2 linked regions of the Arabidopsis thaliana genome follow. The protein of the gene in region 1 binds, or shares a complex with, the protein of each later gene. Each region holds a gene or a part of one and is shown in the gene's direction. Other genes may lie near its edges.

Region 1 (9,748 bases):
CTCTGATTGGCTCTTCACTATAGGCTTTTTTTTTTTTTTTTGTAAATTCACTATAGGCTTAAGCTAGTCTGCTCCATAGCTATAGGTCCCTATAAATATACGTAAGTCTTCTTATATAAAAGCAATGTAATTGAATGCTCGCATAACTAAGTGAATTAGTTGTAAAATAAACGAATGTTACGTATGTGGGCATATGATCAAATCTCATTTATTTTCTTATCAGTAAATACAAAGCTTGAAACGTGGTGAACAATGAAGATTGTCATTACGTATGAGAAATTTATAGTTTGTATTGACTAATTTCATTAACTATTTCAAATTTTCACTCAAGTTTGATCATATATACATACTAACTAGTCCACACAAATCTAACTCATGTTCACTAACTTTTGACCCTTAAAATAAAAAACTCATGTTCACTAACTGTCCGATATTAACAACAGTAACCACAAAACTGATCATATATATATACTAGACCACAACAGCTAACGCAGCACCTCGTTTATTGTTTCGACGCAATAACAATAAAAACATTTAAGAGGAAACATAGTAAAAAATAATTGAATTGGTCTAGTTTAGACTACTGTAGAATGCGTACAGATTGGTCTTCTTACATATTAGAGCCATGCACCGTTCGAGTCTAAAAGCCTAGAGTTGCTTATACAGCTGAACCTCCACAAGACTTATATAAATCTTGTGGATATACGAGCCCCCGTCTCCTTTTACGTTTTTGTGGATTTACATAAATCTTTATGGTCACCGAGTCTACTGATATAATTTTACTGTCGCAGTTTGTTTCCACTACTTAAGTTTCTATAATTTCACAGTTTGAAAGAAAAATTACTGGTTATTCAGCTAAATTACAAAGATTAGTTTAATTAGTTTAGCCAGTATAATGTTTTAGTAAAGTATTAAACGGCATTTTTCGTTGGGAGAATTATGTTATGGTATAATCTACTAATACATACTTTTACACATATATCAAAAAGTTTGACCATAGTAGGTAGTACAACATAGAAGAATCAAGATCGGAACCAGCAAGGAAGAAGATACGGTCGGTCCATATTAAGCTAAGAGGACCAACGTAACTCGATATATATTTTTCTGTTCTCTACGTTACCACCATATAAATTTTAATATTGAAAAAATCATCTTTTGGCATTGTGTTTGATGTCGGATTCGGAATATGGAAAGAGGAGAGATATGAGATTTTGGCACAAAGGAAGCTGCCAAAGCATTAGGGCAACCGAGTAGTAACGAGATCAAACATCGTTTCAATCGGACGGTCGGGGTTTGACCAATATTTCTCGGATATCTTTTGGACCCTACGTTCTGACTTGAACTTGATCAGTCACTTCAGTACCTTAGTTTTCATTTTCAATGTGATCATGAGTTTTTTTTTACATGTTAGCTTCAAAACAAATACTAATATTCATTAACTATGGATCGGCATAGTTTTCATGTAATCAGCTGAGCGTTTATCATATTGATTGAAGCTAACATGTAAAATTCTCATGATCACATTGACTTTTGCCTACAAATTTTAAAAGAGTATACAAATAATTGCTTAATGAAGATAGCTTCCATAGAGAAAGAGTAACAGCTTTATACGGAGGCATAGCTTTAGACACGATCTCTGCTCTTGTGTTTTTTGTTTAACACTGAATCCACAGTGAAATTACTGCTCATTTTTTTTCATTTTTTATTACATTTTTTTTTTTACTTTTTTATTTATTACAATCTACAGTTCTACCAACTTATTCAACCTAGTGGTACCATATCGACCCCAAAATTAATCAATCTAATTACAAGGTAGAAATAGAAAGATTTTATCAAAGGAGACAACTCTGATCGATAATATGTTGCAATAAAACCATGAAAAACTGTAAAAAATATTGAAAGCTGAAGAAAAATTTTCAAATCGATAAAAGGATAGTACTAAACCAATCCGGTTTGTGGCATCTTTTTCACCCAATCACTATCAAAGCATTAACTAAAAATCACAAGGAAGAGCATAATTTGATTCTCTACATCGCAGTCCACGATAGGATTTCTCTATCCACCGTTGGATCAAATTTAATAATGATGCACGCGCGCGTCAACGGGATTTTACCCAGCAAAGGAATGTCTTTTCACCGGACTCTTAAAAGACGTTCTTCTTTTTTCACCTTTGCATTGGAAAACGGCGTTTCTTCTTAGAACCGTCGCCGTCAAATCATACGGCCTAATAAATCTCCGTTTAACGCCGTTACTTTACCGTTAAGTACTAAAAAAACAAAAAAAAATCATTTCGATCACTGTCTCATTAAGATGATCGGAGATGTTTTAGCAGGGTTTAACAAGTGATGATAGTAATGTATGTATATATGTTACTGACATTATTTTGTCGTTGTCTAATAGGAGGGTACTAAAGTTTCTCTCTCTCATGGCGTCGGAGCTCAGCCTCTAGTAATGTAGACTGTCCTCTCTTTCTCTCTCTCTTCTTTAAACATCTCTGCTCTGTTTTCCTTCCAGTTCACGCTAATCTCCTGTGTCGGTCCCCTCTCTCTTTTCCTTTGGTCTCTCCCAACAATGGCAGAACGACTTTGTACCCTTCTTTTGCTCTTTGTTTGAATTTCGTTTCTTGCTACAAAGCTTCAAAGGATCTGACTTTTCCCTAAACAGAAAAAGAGGTCTTTAACCAAAAAAGGTTGTTACTTGTTTTCTGGGTTTCGTGGTGTTACTCTTGAGGAAGAAGAAGAAGAAGATGAGAAGGATAGAGACCATGAAAGGCTTGTTTTTTTGTCTGGGGATGGTGGTTTTCATGCTACTTGGTTCTGTTTCTCCAATGAACAACGAAGGTTCTAGCTCTTTCAAAATCTCTTTTGTTTCTCTATTGTTCCATGAGCCAGAGAGATTTCTCTCTTTTTTTTCCAGAGAACTTGAATTTTTATAAATTTGTAACCTTTCTTCCGATTTTGAAGATATCATATCTGTTTATCTGTCTATCTAAACAGTGACTGTTCCTGAGAGAGCAAAAGTCATTTGATTCGTTCTTAAAAAAAACTTACTTTAGTGTTTTTGGAAATATGATAATAATTTGTGACCTAGCTCACTTCACAGTTGAGTTTATTATACTAATGATCTAGTGGGGTTTTAGTTTTTGGCATGTGGTTCATATTTTACCATTTGACTATCATCAGTGTCAAATGATTAAATAAGCTTTTTTTGATTTGTTTATTGACTTCAAAAAGCTTTTGATTTTGCACAGGAAAAGCGTTGATGGCGATAAAGGCTTCATTCAGCAACGTGGCGAATATGCTTCTTGATTGGGACGATGTTCATAACCACGACTTTTGTTCTTGGAGAGGTGTCTTCTGTGATAACGTTAGCCTCAATGTTGTCTCTCTGTAAGGATTTTTTTTTTATCTCATTCCGTATTGTTGTGCTGTCTCTTTGATTTCAGACTTTTCTGATTTGCCTTTGTTTTTTTTTATGTTGGAAGTAATCTGTCAAACCTGAATCTTGGTGGAGAGATATCATCTGCCCTTGGAGATTTGATGAATCTGCAATCAATGTTCGTTTCTCTTCTCTCTTTTACTTGTATGTTTGAGAAGAAACATGGTGTTAAATCCTTATGAAGCTCTGGTCTTTCTTAATTACAGAGACTTGCAAGGAAATAAATTGGGTGGTCAAATTCCAGATGAGATTGGAAACTGTGTTTCTCTTGCTTATGTGTAAGTTTTGTTTGATGCTTGTAGTTTCATGTTAATGAGAACTTAATCTATCTCTATTATATAATCAAAAACCTTTCTTGTTTCAGGGATTTCTCCACCAATTTGTTGTTTGGAGACATACCGTTTTCAATCTCTAAACTCAAACAGCTGGAGTTTCTGTATGTCTTCTTATCTCTCTCATTCGTGTGTAATCTTTGCCTGATTTTGGCGTTTTTTTGTCAACTGTTTCATTCTAATGCAGGAACCTAAAGAATAATCAGCTCACTGGTCCAATACCAGCAACCTTAACTCAGATTCCAAACCTTAAGACCCTGTGAGTTTCAATCAGATAATATTCTATCTATGAAGCAGGTTATTTAATGCAAAGGGATCATTGCAATGATAATAGATTATTCTCATGATTTTGCAGTGACCTCGCAAGAAACCAGCTTACTGGTGAGATACCAAGGTTACTCTACTGGAATGAAGTTTTACAGTATCTGTAAGTAGTTCATCTACTTATCTTAAGTCTAGGCATCCAGAGATTTATGTTCTGATTGTGATGTATTCATTTTGCAGCGGTTTACGTGGGAATATGTTAACTGGGACATTGTCTCCTGATATGTGTCAGCTGACGGGTCTGTGGTACTTGTAAGTGAATCCGGTTCAGCTCTTTATTTTCTTTTACTCTCAACCTCAGATTTCGAGTAATTTATAAGTGAATGTTTGTTGTTGTTAGTGATGTGAGAGGCAACAACCTTACTGGAACTATCCCAGAGAGCATTGGCAATTGCACAAGCTTTGAGATCTTGTATGTGTCTTCTCCTTAAGGAATGAATATTCAGCACAGAACTCGAGTGATCTTATTCGTCATTTGCATTTTCAGGGATGTATCTTATAATCAGATTACCGGAGTTATACCCTACAATATTGGTTTCCTCCAAGTAGCTACTCTGTAAGTATTGTTAAGACCATCTTACACTTTTGTGTGGTTTGTTAAAGCATGTCAATATGGTTAAGTGGTGATGGGTTCTCTTGCAGGTCACTTCAAGGAAACAAGTTGACTGGCAGAATTCCGGAAGTGATTGGTCTGATGCAGGCTCTTGCTGTATTGTATGTCATTTTCATATTCAAATGCTTGCTTTTTTCCTACTCTCGTTTCTTGCTCTTCTGACTGAATGAAATAAACTTATCCAATGCGCAGGGATTTGAGTGACAATGAATTAACTGGGCCTATTCCACCAATACTTGGGAATCTGTCATTCACTGGAAAACTGTGAGTCCCTTTTTTTTTCTTCCCTCTGTGTCATGCATATGTTCAGATCTTCACATATATGGATAATGTCTTTTCTTGAAAATAGGTATCTCCATGGCAACAAGCTCACTGGACAAATCCCACCCGAGCTAGGCAATATGTCACGACTCAGCTATTTGTAAGATTGAGAACTTGAAACTCCAATATCTGTTCTTCTCAATACTTGATCTTATGAGGGTTTACTCTTTCGCAGGCAACTAAATGATAATGAACTAGTGGGAAAGATCCCACCTGAGCTTGGGAAGCTGGAACAATTGTTCGAACTGTGAGTTTTTATCCTTCAGTATACTTAAATTTTTATCTTAGGTGAAAAGCTGGTTGATGTAACTTTGCCATCTAGGAATCTTGCGAACAACAATCTTGTAGGGCTGATTCCATCTAACATTAGTTCCTGTGCTGCCTTGAATCAATTGTAAGATATGATATGAACCCTTTCCCATTTTATGCTTCTCTCTATTTTTCTTCTTCTTATCTTAATGAAAACTTATTGTGCTTTTATTGTGTTCAGCAATGTTCATGGGAACTTCTTGAGTGGAGCTGTACCACTTGAATTCCGGAATCTTGGAAGCTTGACTTATCTGTAAGCTTCAATGACTGCATGTACAGTATGATTATGTATTCGAACTATTAGTCTGTGTAAATCTTGATTCAATGCTGTAAATTGCAGAAATCTTTCCTCAAACAGTTTCAAGGGCAAAATACCTGCTGAGCTTGGCCATATCATCAATCTTGATACATTGTATGTTATTTTCTACTGATTTACATCCATGTTCCGCCTAGTTACCTACTGATATGTGTACCAACTACCAACTCATACAAACTTTGTTTCAGGGATCTGTCTGGCAACAATTTCTCAGGCTCAATTCCATTAACACTTGGTGATCTTGAGCATCTTCTCATCTTGTATGTCTTCATCAAGCCCTAAAGTTGCACTGCTTTGCATTAACTCTCTCAGATTTGTTGACTTGAGTTTTGTTTTAATTGTCAGAAACTTGAGCAGAAATCATCTGAATGGCACATTGCCTGCAGAATTCGGGAACCTCCGAAGCATTCAGATCATGTAAGGCTTGTCTTATGCTTAGATTTCTTCTGTTATGATAAAATCTTCCTACTTACAAACTTTTCTCCATCCTTCTCAGCGATGTGTCATTTAATTTTCTTGCCGGTGTTATTCCAACTGAACTTGGCCAGTTGCAGAACATAAACTCTCTGTAAGTAAACCATCACTTCTCCTCTGCAATTTACCGTATAATGCATATAAATAATTCTTCTTTGCTTCTTTAATGTACAGGATACTGAACAACAACAAGATTCATGGGAAAATCCCTGATCAGCTAACTAACTGCTTCAGTCTTGCCAATCTGTACGTGTTCCTTTGTTACAACAAGATGTGTACTCTCAGATAATCTTATGATCATTTCTGAATTCATATATTTTTCCTGCTCGTTCTTTATACATTGTAGGAACATCTCCTTCAATAATCTTTCTGGAATAATCCCACCTATGAAGAACTTTACACGTTTTTCCCCGGCCAGGTATCACCTTTGCCATATTGTTACCTGTCTTAGCTTTTCATATAATCAGTATACCAAATATACCTTTTCGTTTATAGCTTCTTTGGAAATCCATTTCTCTGCGGGAACTGGGTTGGATCAATCTGTGGCCCATCTTTACCTAAGTCACAAGGTATATGAATCTGCATTTATCCTATTGCATTGTTTTTAGCTGACATATCTCTCACTACATTTCTTGCTCTTGACCAACCAGTATTCACCAGAGTTGCCGTGATTTGTATGGTTCTCGGTTTCATCACTCTCATATGCATGATATTCATTGCGGTTTACAAGTCAAAGCAGCAGAAACCAGTCTTGAAAGGCTCTTCAAAACAACCTGAAGGTCTTGGTCTCATAGTTTATGATCTCTTCTCTTTCGTTCATTAAGATTCACAACAGCATTATGATATATCTTGTATGGATCCTTCAGGGTCAACGAAGCTGGTGATTCTTCACATGGACATGGCTATTCACACGTTTGATGATATCATGAGAGTTACAGAAAACCTCGATGAGAAATACATCATTGGATACGGTGCTTCTAGCACAGTTTACAAGTGCACCTCCAAAACTTCCCGACCTATTGCCATTAAGCGAATCTACAATCAGTATCCCAGCAACTTCCGCGAGTTTGAAACAGAGCTCGAGACCATTGGGAGCATCAGACACAGAAACATAGTAAGCTTGCACGGATACGCCTTATCTCCCTTTGGCAACCTCCTCTTCTACGACTACATGGAAAATGGCTCTCTTTGGGATCTTCTCCATGGTTTGCTATTCTTCTTCTCTTGGACCAGTTACGTTCTTTTCAGCCAGTTTTCTACTTTTGGAAGACTTAAACGTAGTGATTGTATGATGCAGGGCCTGGGAAGAAGGTGAAGCTTGACTGGGAAACAAGGCTGAAGATAGCTGTTGGAGCTGCGCAAGGACTTGCATATCTTCACCATGACTGCACACCTAGGATAATCCATCGAGACATCAAGTCATCAAACATACTCCTTGATGGGAATTTCGAAGCGCGTTTGTCAGATTTTGGGATTGCCAAGAGCATACCAGCCACCAAAACTTATGCTTCAACCTATGTTCTTGGAACCATTGGATATATTGACCCAGAGTATGCTCGAACTTCGCGTCTGAACGAGAAGTCTGATATCTACAGTTTCGGTATTGTCCTTCTTGAGCTTCTAACCGGCAAGAAGGCTGTGGATAACGAGGCCAACTTGCATCAAATGGTATGAATTTGAGTATAAAGTGTTTCACAAGTTTATTCTTGGAAACAATTTGATATCATTAACTTTTTTGTTGCAGATTCTATCAAAGGCGGATGATAACACAGTAATGGAAGCTGTTGATGCAGAGGTCTCAGTGACTTGCATGGACTCAGGACACATCAAGAAAACATTTCAGCTAGCTCTCTTGTGCACCAAGCGAAATCCTTTGGAGAGACCCACCATGCAGGAGGTCTCTAGGGTTCTGCTCTCACTTGTCCCGTCTCCACCTCCAAAGAAGTTACCGTCGCCTGCAAAAGTACAGGAAGGGGAAGAACGGCGTGAGAGCCACTCTTCAGATACAACAACCCCACAGTGGTTTGTTCAGTTCCGTGAAGATATCTCCAAAAGTAGCTTATAAGATAATAACTTTTAGGGTTCCCTTTTCTGTTGTGTTCTTGTATGTCAAGAAAGATCGGAGGGGCAGGTTTTTAAGTGATTTAGGGCTAGTATGAGGGGTATTTTGGGAAGGGAGATAAAATTGAAGGCATTAAAGATAAGAACATGGGATAGGTGAAAGAGTAGGTGAAGTTAATTGTTTTTCCAATGGACATCTTCACGAGTTCGTTAAAAGTCTTTCAATCTCCTCTTTAATGCAAACATCCATTAATGCATACTTCGTTCACACTATAAATATATTTTGTACATTATTCACATGACCAACGTTGTGTATATGTCAAACTTTTACAACTAATTAAGAACATATACGCATATGGCTTATCTCAAAATGTGAATCTCAAGCTGGTGAATCCTGCCACAGAAATTCAAGCTCCTTGTTAGAATGTAATTGATGGAGATGTGTTGTTCACTTGTTTGGTCCAAATACTAGAAGGAAATGATTAAAGCAATAGGTTTTTATACCTGTTAACATGGAGGATCGTTTTCCCATTGAAGCTCTCAATCTTTTTCATTGCAATGTCTAATTTGTACACGCACGAAATATGTCTTGAAAAATCTCTATGTGGATGAGATACAAGAGATTAAGAGAAGCAACTAATCTGTAAGTACCGCGACTGAATCATTATCTGAAGTGGTAACATTTCTGTGCCTCTCCCAAGGTTGATCCTTCTGTGTCTTTAATGATTAACACAGATGGCGACATACTGTTGTTTCCGCGAGATAATTTACATTAGGAACAAAACTAGTTGTGTCTTGATTCTACTTAGTCTAGTTGCAAGCAAAGACAATGTTAGGTTAAATGATGTTATGCTAGAGTTGGAAAACCACTCACGATATGTGCATGTCCTCCAATATGCCAAGCGTATTCAAAAGCTCAGAAGAAGAAACCAATGATTGATTAAGACGATAAAAAAGACTTGAGTGTACCTTAGCAATAACAAGATCTTCATAAGTCATTTTATCATCTTTCCTGCGTTGAGTGACCATATCAAACATCCTTTTCTCCTAAAGAACCACTCGGACCAAAATACTCCTGTGACAATCGAAATCCACCACACATCGTGTGATGCTTAAGAGAGATTTGAGATCATCGAGCTTCTTCTGAGTGAAAGCTCTGCAACAAAATTACAAACTCACAATTGAAGAAGTTTATTAGAGAGTGGAGGTGAGATTGGTTCCGATGAAAACCTGGAAGCAGAAGTGAAGTCATGATCAACAGAGGACGACGAAATCGAATTCCCATTTTCGCCGGGTTTTTCTGTTCTCCGGCAGGTTTCGTCGTCTCTGTTTACATGGTTTAGTCTTCGTCGGAAGGAGAAAAAATATTTCGGTTTACATGATTTTGAAAAGTTCAAATTATAATTGGTTTCGGTTCAGTGTACATGGTTTAAAATTACAAATTGATTTTGGTTCGGTTTACATAAAACAAAAAACATAAGAGTCACGCGATGGAGATTTTGGGAGGAAGTGCGTTGAATAAAAAAGGCATGATTTGGAAAGGTAAACCCCTACAAAATT
Region 2 (5,506 bases), on another chromosome or scaffold:
GTAGTTCACCATTTTGGTTGGTGAACACTATATATGTCAATTTATGTTCTCTAATATATATTTTCTTGTTTGGTTTTCTCAATATGTGTTGTCGAGTCGAAAGTGATTAATTGATCGAGCTCAAGATCTTGCTATTAAGGCGAAGTAAAGATTGCAATTCATATTGCTGTATCCTAACAAATGTGATGGTCTCTTATCGTTCTAACATCTCTCTTTCAGATTTATATAAAAATATATATATTGTCTACAAAACTCATTCATCCACATCCAAAATTTAAAATTTGGATTATTACACAAAAGTAGATAAACCACTAGACAAATAATATCTAGTCGAATTAATTAAATTACTCGTCTAAATTATTAGCTTTTTAGATATATATATCTAAACTAAGGACTAAAGCTAGTTAGTGTAAATTTGACTTTTTTTTGTTCTTTGAAACTATGTGTAATATCTATTTTTTTGTAAATGCAAAGATAATCGAGTAATGAACATGAAAACTACTATATTATAAGGAAAAAAATGGTATTTAAATAAAAAAATATGAATAGTGATTGAAGAACCGTACAGGTTATGTTTGTGCAGGGAGAGGGGTCGCGAGTGCGTGGGTCGGGTACAGAGGATGAGTCAGTGAGTCAGGACCTGTTTCCCCCTTTGTAGGGACACTTTTACCATCCTTTAATGGGCCTATTCTTTTCATAGGCCCATTTAAATCATATCAGTCAGTCTTTTTCTTGGGCCTCATCTTTGTTTTGTGGTTCTTGCGATTTGAACTATCTGATGGTGACTACAATTGGACGACCGCAGAACAACCCAACCGTATATGCTGTCTTTTGTGGGCAAATCTTTTTTATTGATATGGATTGTCTCAAAATAAGTGATAGAAGTCCGATATAAAGCATAAAACAATCTCTCATGATCAACCATTAAAAGAAATAAACTAGCAACAACCCATGTTCCTCTTACTGACATACATACACATATAGTCAAAGATTTATGCAATAATTTGGACTTTATTAAAAATATTTACAAACCATATAGACATATATATAGTCATTTTTGATATCTTGGTTTCAAAATCTTTCTAGATCTTTAGTTCCAATAAACTTTCAATTTAAAAGCGGTTTTCTAAAAATCCGAAGTTGGCCAAGTGATATATTAGTCCTGTCCAAACTGACACAACTCACGAATGTGGTACGGGTTGAAAAGCCTTAGGCCATGTTCGTGAGGTAAAGATACTCGCGGTCGATCAACTTTGGGGAACGAATTCGTTCTTGGAACTTTTGTTGATTGATTACGGGCGTCATACGTGACGCCCCTGTTCTTTTTTATTTTTAGGACGGTTTGGGGGTGTTACAAGAGTGGTACCAAAAGACGACGAATATATTGACTCATATCTTTTATATCTTAGCATAGTTTGCTTTTTCACTTTTAATGTGAGAATTCTAACATGCACATTTGAGATAATGAATCATTTTCACTCATCGTTTTGGATCGAACCTCGTTTTGTTTTTGGTTTGGTCATAACTTTTTAACTTGAAAACCACTTGAGAGTGAGTCGACTGATTTATATACTCCTTATATTTTACTTTATATCCCATATTTTTTTATGATGTAAGATTCTTAACATAGTCAAGTACTCATAATGATCTAGTAGTTGAATGATTTACGATGATTCGAATCATTCTACTTCGATTGAGGGTGTACACTAATTAGATCCTATTATATATGATATAAACTGATATATATAAGAATTATTATATAATGCAAAAAATGATCATAAGACGGACGGTGTATATTTATTTTGAATATAATACAAAATTATCATATGTCCAACTCCAGATTCGTGTGCATGTCTCTACGTATCTCCGGATACGATCATGCTATAAGAGTCAAGACCCCTACACGATATGACAAAACGAGTAGGAAAAACGTGACACCAAAAGATATTAAAAAGCTGAAACTAATATATAGAAATGAAAATGAGAGATACATATCAACATTATACAAGAAAGAAAATGAATAAAATAATTGTAATGTAGGACTGAAAACCTAAAAAGAAAAAGAAACATCAAAAGGTTGCCAAAATAAAAAAGTAACATGAAAATAAAACCTGACCAGAAATTTCCATAAAGCCCAACCTATTTATTTTGCCTACACTCTGAGCCCCACTCATTAGTTGCTCAACTATTTTAATTCCTTGTCATAATTGTTATTTAAGAACCTTTATAACTTTCACTTTCAGGGTATATAATCTCTATGGATTTAAATGGAGAAAACCCCAGTGACCATAGTTTGATTTAAGGAAGGGAAAGTTATAGGAATGGATTATGAAATATTATAAATTTTGCATATTAATGCAAAATATCTATCTTTATAAAACATACTTTTAAAAATATATAATGTTAAGAAACAAAAGGAGGTTAATATTAAGTGAAGACTCTCACTAAAGTATACAAATGAAGAGATATAAAAAGCAGGATAAAAATAGAGTCAAAAAGAAAGAAAACAAAAACAAGACATAGCAATTTGAATTTAATATTTGGATTCCAAATCCAAGCTCATGGGTCTATTCTACTGTTCACAGTCACACACACACTCTCTATCTAAGCTTCTTTTGACTTAAGACCAAAATGAATAACCCCAAACCTCAAACACTCAAACATAAACCCAAAAAATCTCTCTCACAGAGAAAAATAAAACACACAATTTTAACCACAACACTTGTCTCTCTGCTAACATACGCATCCTCTCCGGTTCTTGACTAATGGGCACCTTCCGTCGCCGCCGTCGCTTTCTTTTAGCTGCACTCGTCACATTTGCTCTCCTCCACCTCTTCTCCGCCTCCTCCATAGTCTCCGCCGGTAAGAAACCAATAACAATGTGATTTTTTTTTTCTTGCAACTCAAACCCGAAAATTTCTTGATTTTCTTGATTTCATAATAAAATTTTTGGTTTGAGTAATTAAAAACGCAATATTTTTTGTAGTCCAATGGTTAAATGTACTTGATGTGTAAATGGTGAGCGAGTTAACTCAGTAGTGGTTAAATTCATTTACCAGATGGTAGATGGATTGGTCAGAGAACCGGGTCGGATTTACCGGGTGGGTTCATAAGGAGTAATAAGCGGTTTGGTGGTCCGGGTTCATCACCACCGACGTGTAGATCGAAGTGTGGGAAATGTCAGCCGTGTAAACCGGTTCACGTACCAATTCAACCCGGTTTAAGTATGCCATTGGAGTATTACCCTGAAGCTTGGCGGTGCAAGTGTGGCAACAAGCTCTTCATGCCCTAAAGTTTGATCAATTATTAAACAATTCAGAAGAAGAAAAAAAATGTTTTAATTCTTTTTGTTTTGTTTTTTGTTCCTCATTTCTTGTGCTTCTCTGATTAATTATTGTAATGAAAACTATATGTTAATATTAAAAAATTGGTCATGTGAAGAAATTGAGGACTTTGGGAAAAGGCAAATTTTTGAGGGGTGATAGTACCGAGAAAGAAAGAGAGCATTCATCATTTTTACCCTAATGACACTTGCTTCATTGTAGAACCAATTGATATTGCAGATGTCTAATTCAGGTAGTGAATTTCTATCTTTTCTTTGTTATAACTTGTAAGAAAATAAATATGTCATACACAAAACAAATCGTTTTTAATCAGTAACATGAAATGACAAATGTTTTAGACAGGTATAAATAGTAAAATATCTTACTAATGGTAAAATCATTTTACTACATAGAATTTCTGAAAATAAGTTAAAACGTTAAAAATAGGTTTCACTAAATAGAATTTCTGCAAATTAGATAAGTTATAACTAAAAAAGAACTATAATTAGAAAACGTTAAAAAGAACTCTACAGGATTAGTGATGTAATTTGTTATGTTTTAACACATCAATAATATATATATACTAGTAGAAGTAATTTTTTAAAACGTGGAATGTAATGAATATTTTGAATGGTAAACTACCACAACTACGTTTTTAAAATGTGAAAATGTATAGAAATAGTTACTTTATATAAATATAAGATGTTTTGGTTAAAAGCACAAAGTTTAATAAACTTATATTTTTATATTAAAAACATAGTTAAATATCTAATCAAAGAGAGTTTGGCAAATGATAAAAATTTCTGCATAATATAAATAATCACAAAATTTCCTGTTGAAATGTCTTTTGGATTTTTGTAAATTAAACAATCTTATGGTGAATTATTTGACAAAATCCGCCAAAAACAATTGTGAGTGATGGATATTTGTTTTGTTTCCATTTGGTGTTATCAGTAAAATCAGTGATTTGCCCCTTATTTTCAAACAAATCCCACTTAACAAAACAAATCCTAAGTACTTTGTTTGTCTGGTTATGCATGTTTGTTTGGACCCATAGGTTTTTGTCCCTCGACAGCTATGAAGATTTCATTATTGCTCTTTGATGATAATTTATTAATTTTTGTAAGGTATCAATATAAATCATGATTAATATTTATATCGTACTTGCACGTGTAAGTATGCAGCAGGACCATATTATAAAAAAATGAAACAAATAATAATATTATTATAGAAAACGAATGTAAAAAGTAGTAAAAGCATTTATGGTTTGGAGTTTTTCCCATTTTCACTACAAAGCCGCATATGTACTCGTGTCGTACTGCATACTCTGTTCCTTACATATAAGTTTGCAATATCTGAATTAACTTCTCTCGTTTCTTTTATTTTTCTCCTTATGAGATGTACCAAGTTATTCTACTTTTGATTTTAGTATTTGGAAAAGTATCTACTTGTCTCATATTTATAGCTTGATTTTACAATTTTAGCTTTTTAAAATAGAGAGGAAATAAAGAACCATTGACCTATAAAAGATACACAAATAATTTCTTTGTAGATGCCTAAAAAGCGTACTAGTTACAACAATAATTGTATAAGTTGGAGAATGATGGTTTACTCTAGACTTATAGAGATGTTATGATCATCATTAGAAGCTGACTTACGTTACGTATAGAAAGATTATGAAACGTATTAATTTCAGGGTCGAACGGGACAAGACTTTGGTCCTATATTCGGAGTTCGGACAAGTCATGGTTATAAATTTGTGTAGATGACATAAATGGTGGAGAATTATTTTGATTATGAGCTTTGAAAATTTGGAAACACGTAACCATTTACTAACTTCTAACCACTGTCCTATCGGTCGTGTAGGGCCATTGTACTCGACCCAAACGTTGACTAATAATAACAACTGCATGGTGTTTATATCATAACGAACATATTTGTAAGATTTTAGTATTTTACAACTTTCACTCCTTTTTTTGTGTTTTCGATTTTTTATATACTCTTAATTTAATATGATGGTACGTAAGGTACGTTCTACATGAGATAGTTGATACTCCATCGACGAACGAAATAACACAAAGGAGCTATTACACAAATTCTTAGGTTCTTTATGTTTTTCACATTTAGGAAAAAAAAAGGATAATATTAGTAGATAACCAAATAAAACATACAAATTAAGAAAT

The links.
Region 2: the proteins of ERL2 (region 1) and CLL2 are in contact, whole or in part, in a crystal structure (PDB 5XKN), measured with the Arabidopsis thaliana proteins. Residues at the interface, in NP_196335.2 of Arabidopsis thaliana: Lys153 (codon at 3,965), Arg178 (codon at 4,136), Arg201 (codon at 4,282), Trp220 (codon at 4,339), Tyr221 (codon at 4,342), Arg225 (codon at 4,442), Glu244 (codon at 4,499), Ile245 (codon at 4,502), Tyr259 (codon at 4,619), Gly262 (codon at 4,628), Phe263 (codon at 4,631), Leu264 (codon at 4,634), Gln265 (codon at 4,637), Ala267 (codon at 4,643), Thr268 (codon at 4,646), Ser270 (codon at 4,738), Gln272 (codon at 4,744), Leu286 (codon at 4,786), Met287 (codon at 4,789), Gln288 (codon at 4,792), Ala289 (codon at 4,795), Ala291 (codon at 4,801), Val292 (codon at 4,804), Asp294 (codon at 4,901), Phe313 (codon at 4,958), Lys316 (codon at 4,967), Tyr318 (codon at 5,058); in NP_001031641.1 of Arabidopsis thaliana: Pro59 (codon at 3,137), Gly60 (codon at 3,140), Ser61 (codon at 3,143), Ser62 (codon at 3,146), Pro63 (codon at 3,149), His80 (codon at 3,200), Ile83 (codon at 3,209), Pro85 (codon at 3,215), Glu92 (codon at 3,236), Tyr93 (codon at 3,239), Tyr94 (codon at 3,242), Pro95 (codon at 3,245), Glu96 (codon at 3,248), Ala97 (codon at 3,251), Trp98 (codon at 3,254), Arg99 (codon at 3,257).

Annotation. Positions count from the first base shown.
Region 1 is NC_003076.8:2,226,231-2,235,978, reverse strand, and holds ERL2 (ERECTA-like 2), read left to right. Parts: upstream 1-2,391; 5' UTR 2,392-2,746; coding exon 2,747-2,840; intron 2,841-3,250; coding exon 3,251-3,389; intron 3,390-3,451; exon of another isoform or gene 3,452-3,484; coding exon 3,485-3,556; intron 3,557-3,644; coding exon 3,645-3,716; intron 3,717-3,802; coding exon 3,803-3,874; intron 3,875-3,957; coding exon 3,958-4,029; intron 4,030-4,125; coding exon 4,126-4,197; intron 4,198-4,274; coding exon 4,275-4,346; intron 4,347-4,434; coding exon 4,435-4,506; intron 4,507-4,581; coding exon 4,582-4,650; intron 4,651-4,736; coding exon 4,737-4,808; intron 4,809-4,899; coding exon 4,900-4,971; intron 4,972-5,056; coding exon 5,057-5,128; intron 5,129-5,203; coding exon 5,204-5,275; intron 5,276-5,350; coding exon 5,351-5,422; intron 5,423-5,518; coding exon 5,519-5,590; intron 5,591-5,677; coding exon 5,678-5,749; intron 5,750-5,841; coding exon 5,842-5,913; intron 5,914-5,998; coding exon 5,999-6,070; and 18 more. Other genes in the region: AT5G07175 (uncharacterized protein), read left to right, coding at 9,679-9,730. UniProt on the Arabidopsis thaliana protein: Receptor kinase that regulates inflorescence architecture and organ shape as well as stomatal patterning, including density and clustering, together with ERL1 and ER.
Region 2 is NC_003075.7:8,437,402-8,442,907, forward strand, and holds CLL2 (EPIDERMAL PATTERNING FACTOR-like protein), read left to right. Parts: upstream 1-2,497; 5' UTR 2,498-2,765; coding exon 2,766-2,862; intron 2,863-3,059; coding exon 3,060-3,292; 3' UTR 3,293-3,500; downstream 3,501-5,506. UniProt on the Arabidopsis thaliana protein: Acts primarily as positive regulator of inflorescence growth. Endodermal expression is sufficient for proper inflorescence architecture. Redundantly involved with EPFL6 in procambial development regulation. Controls stomatal patterning.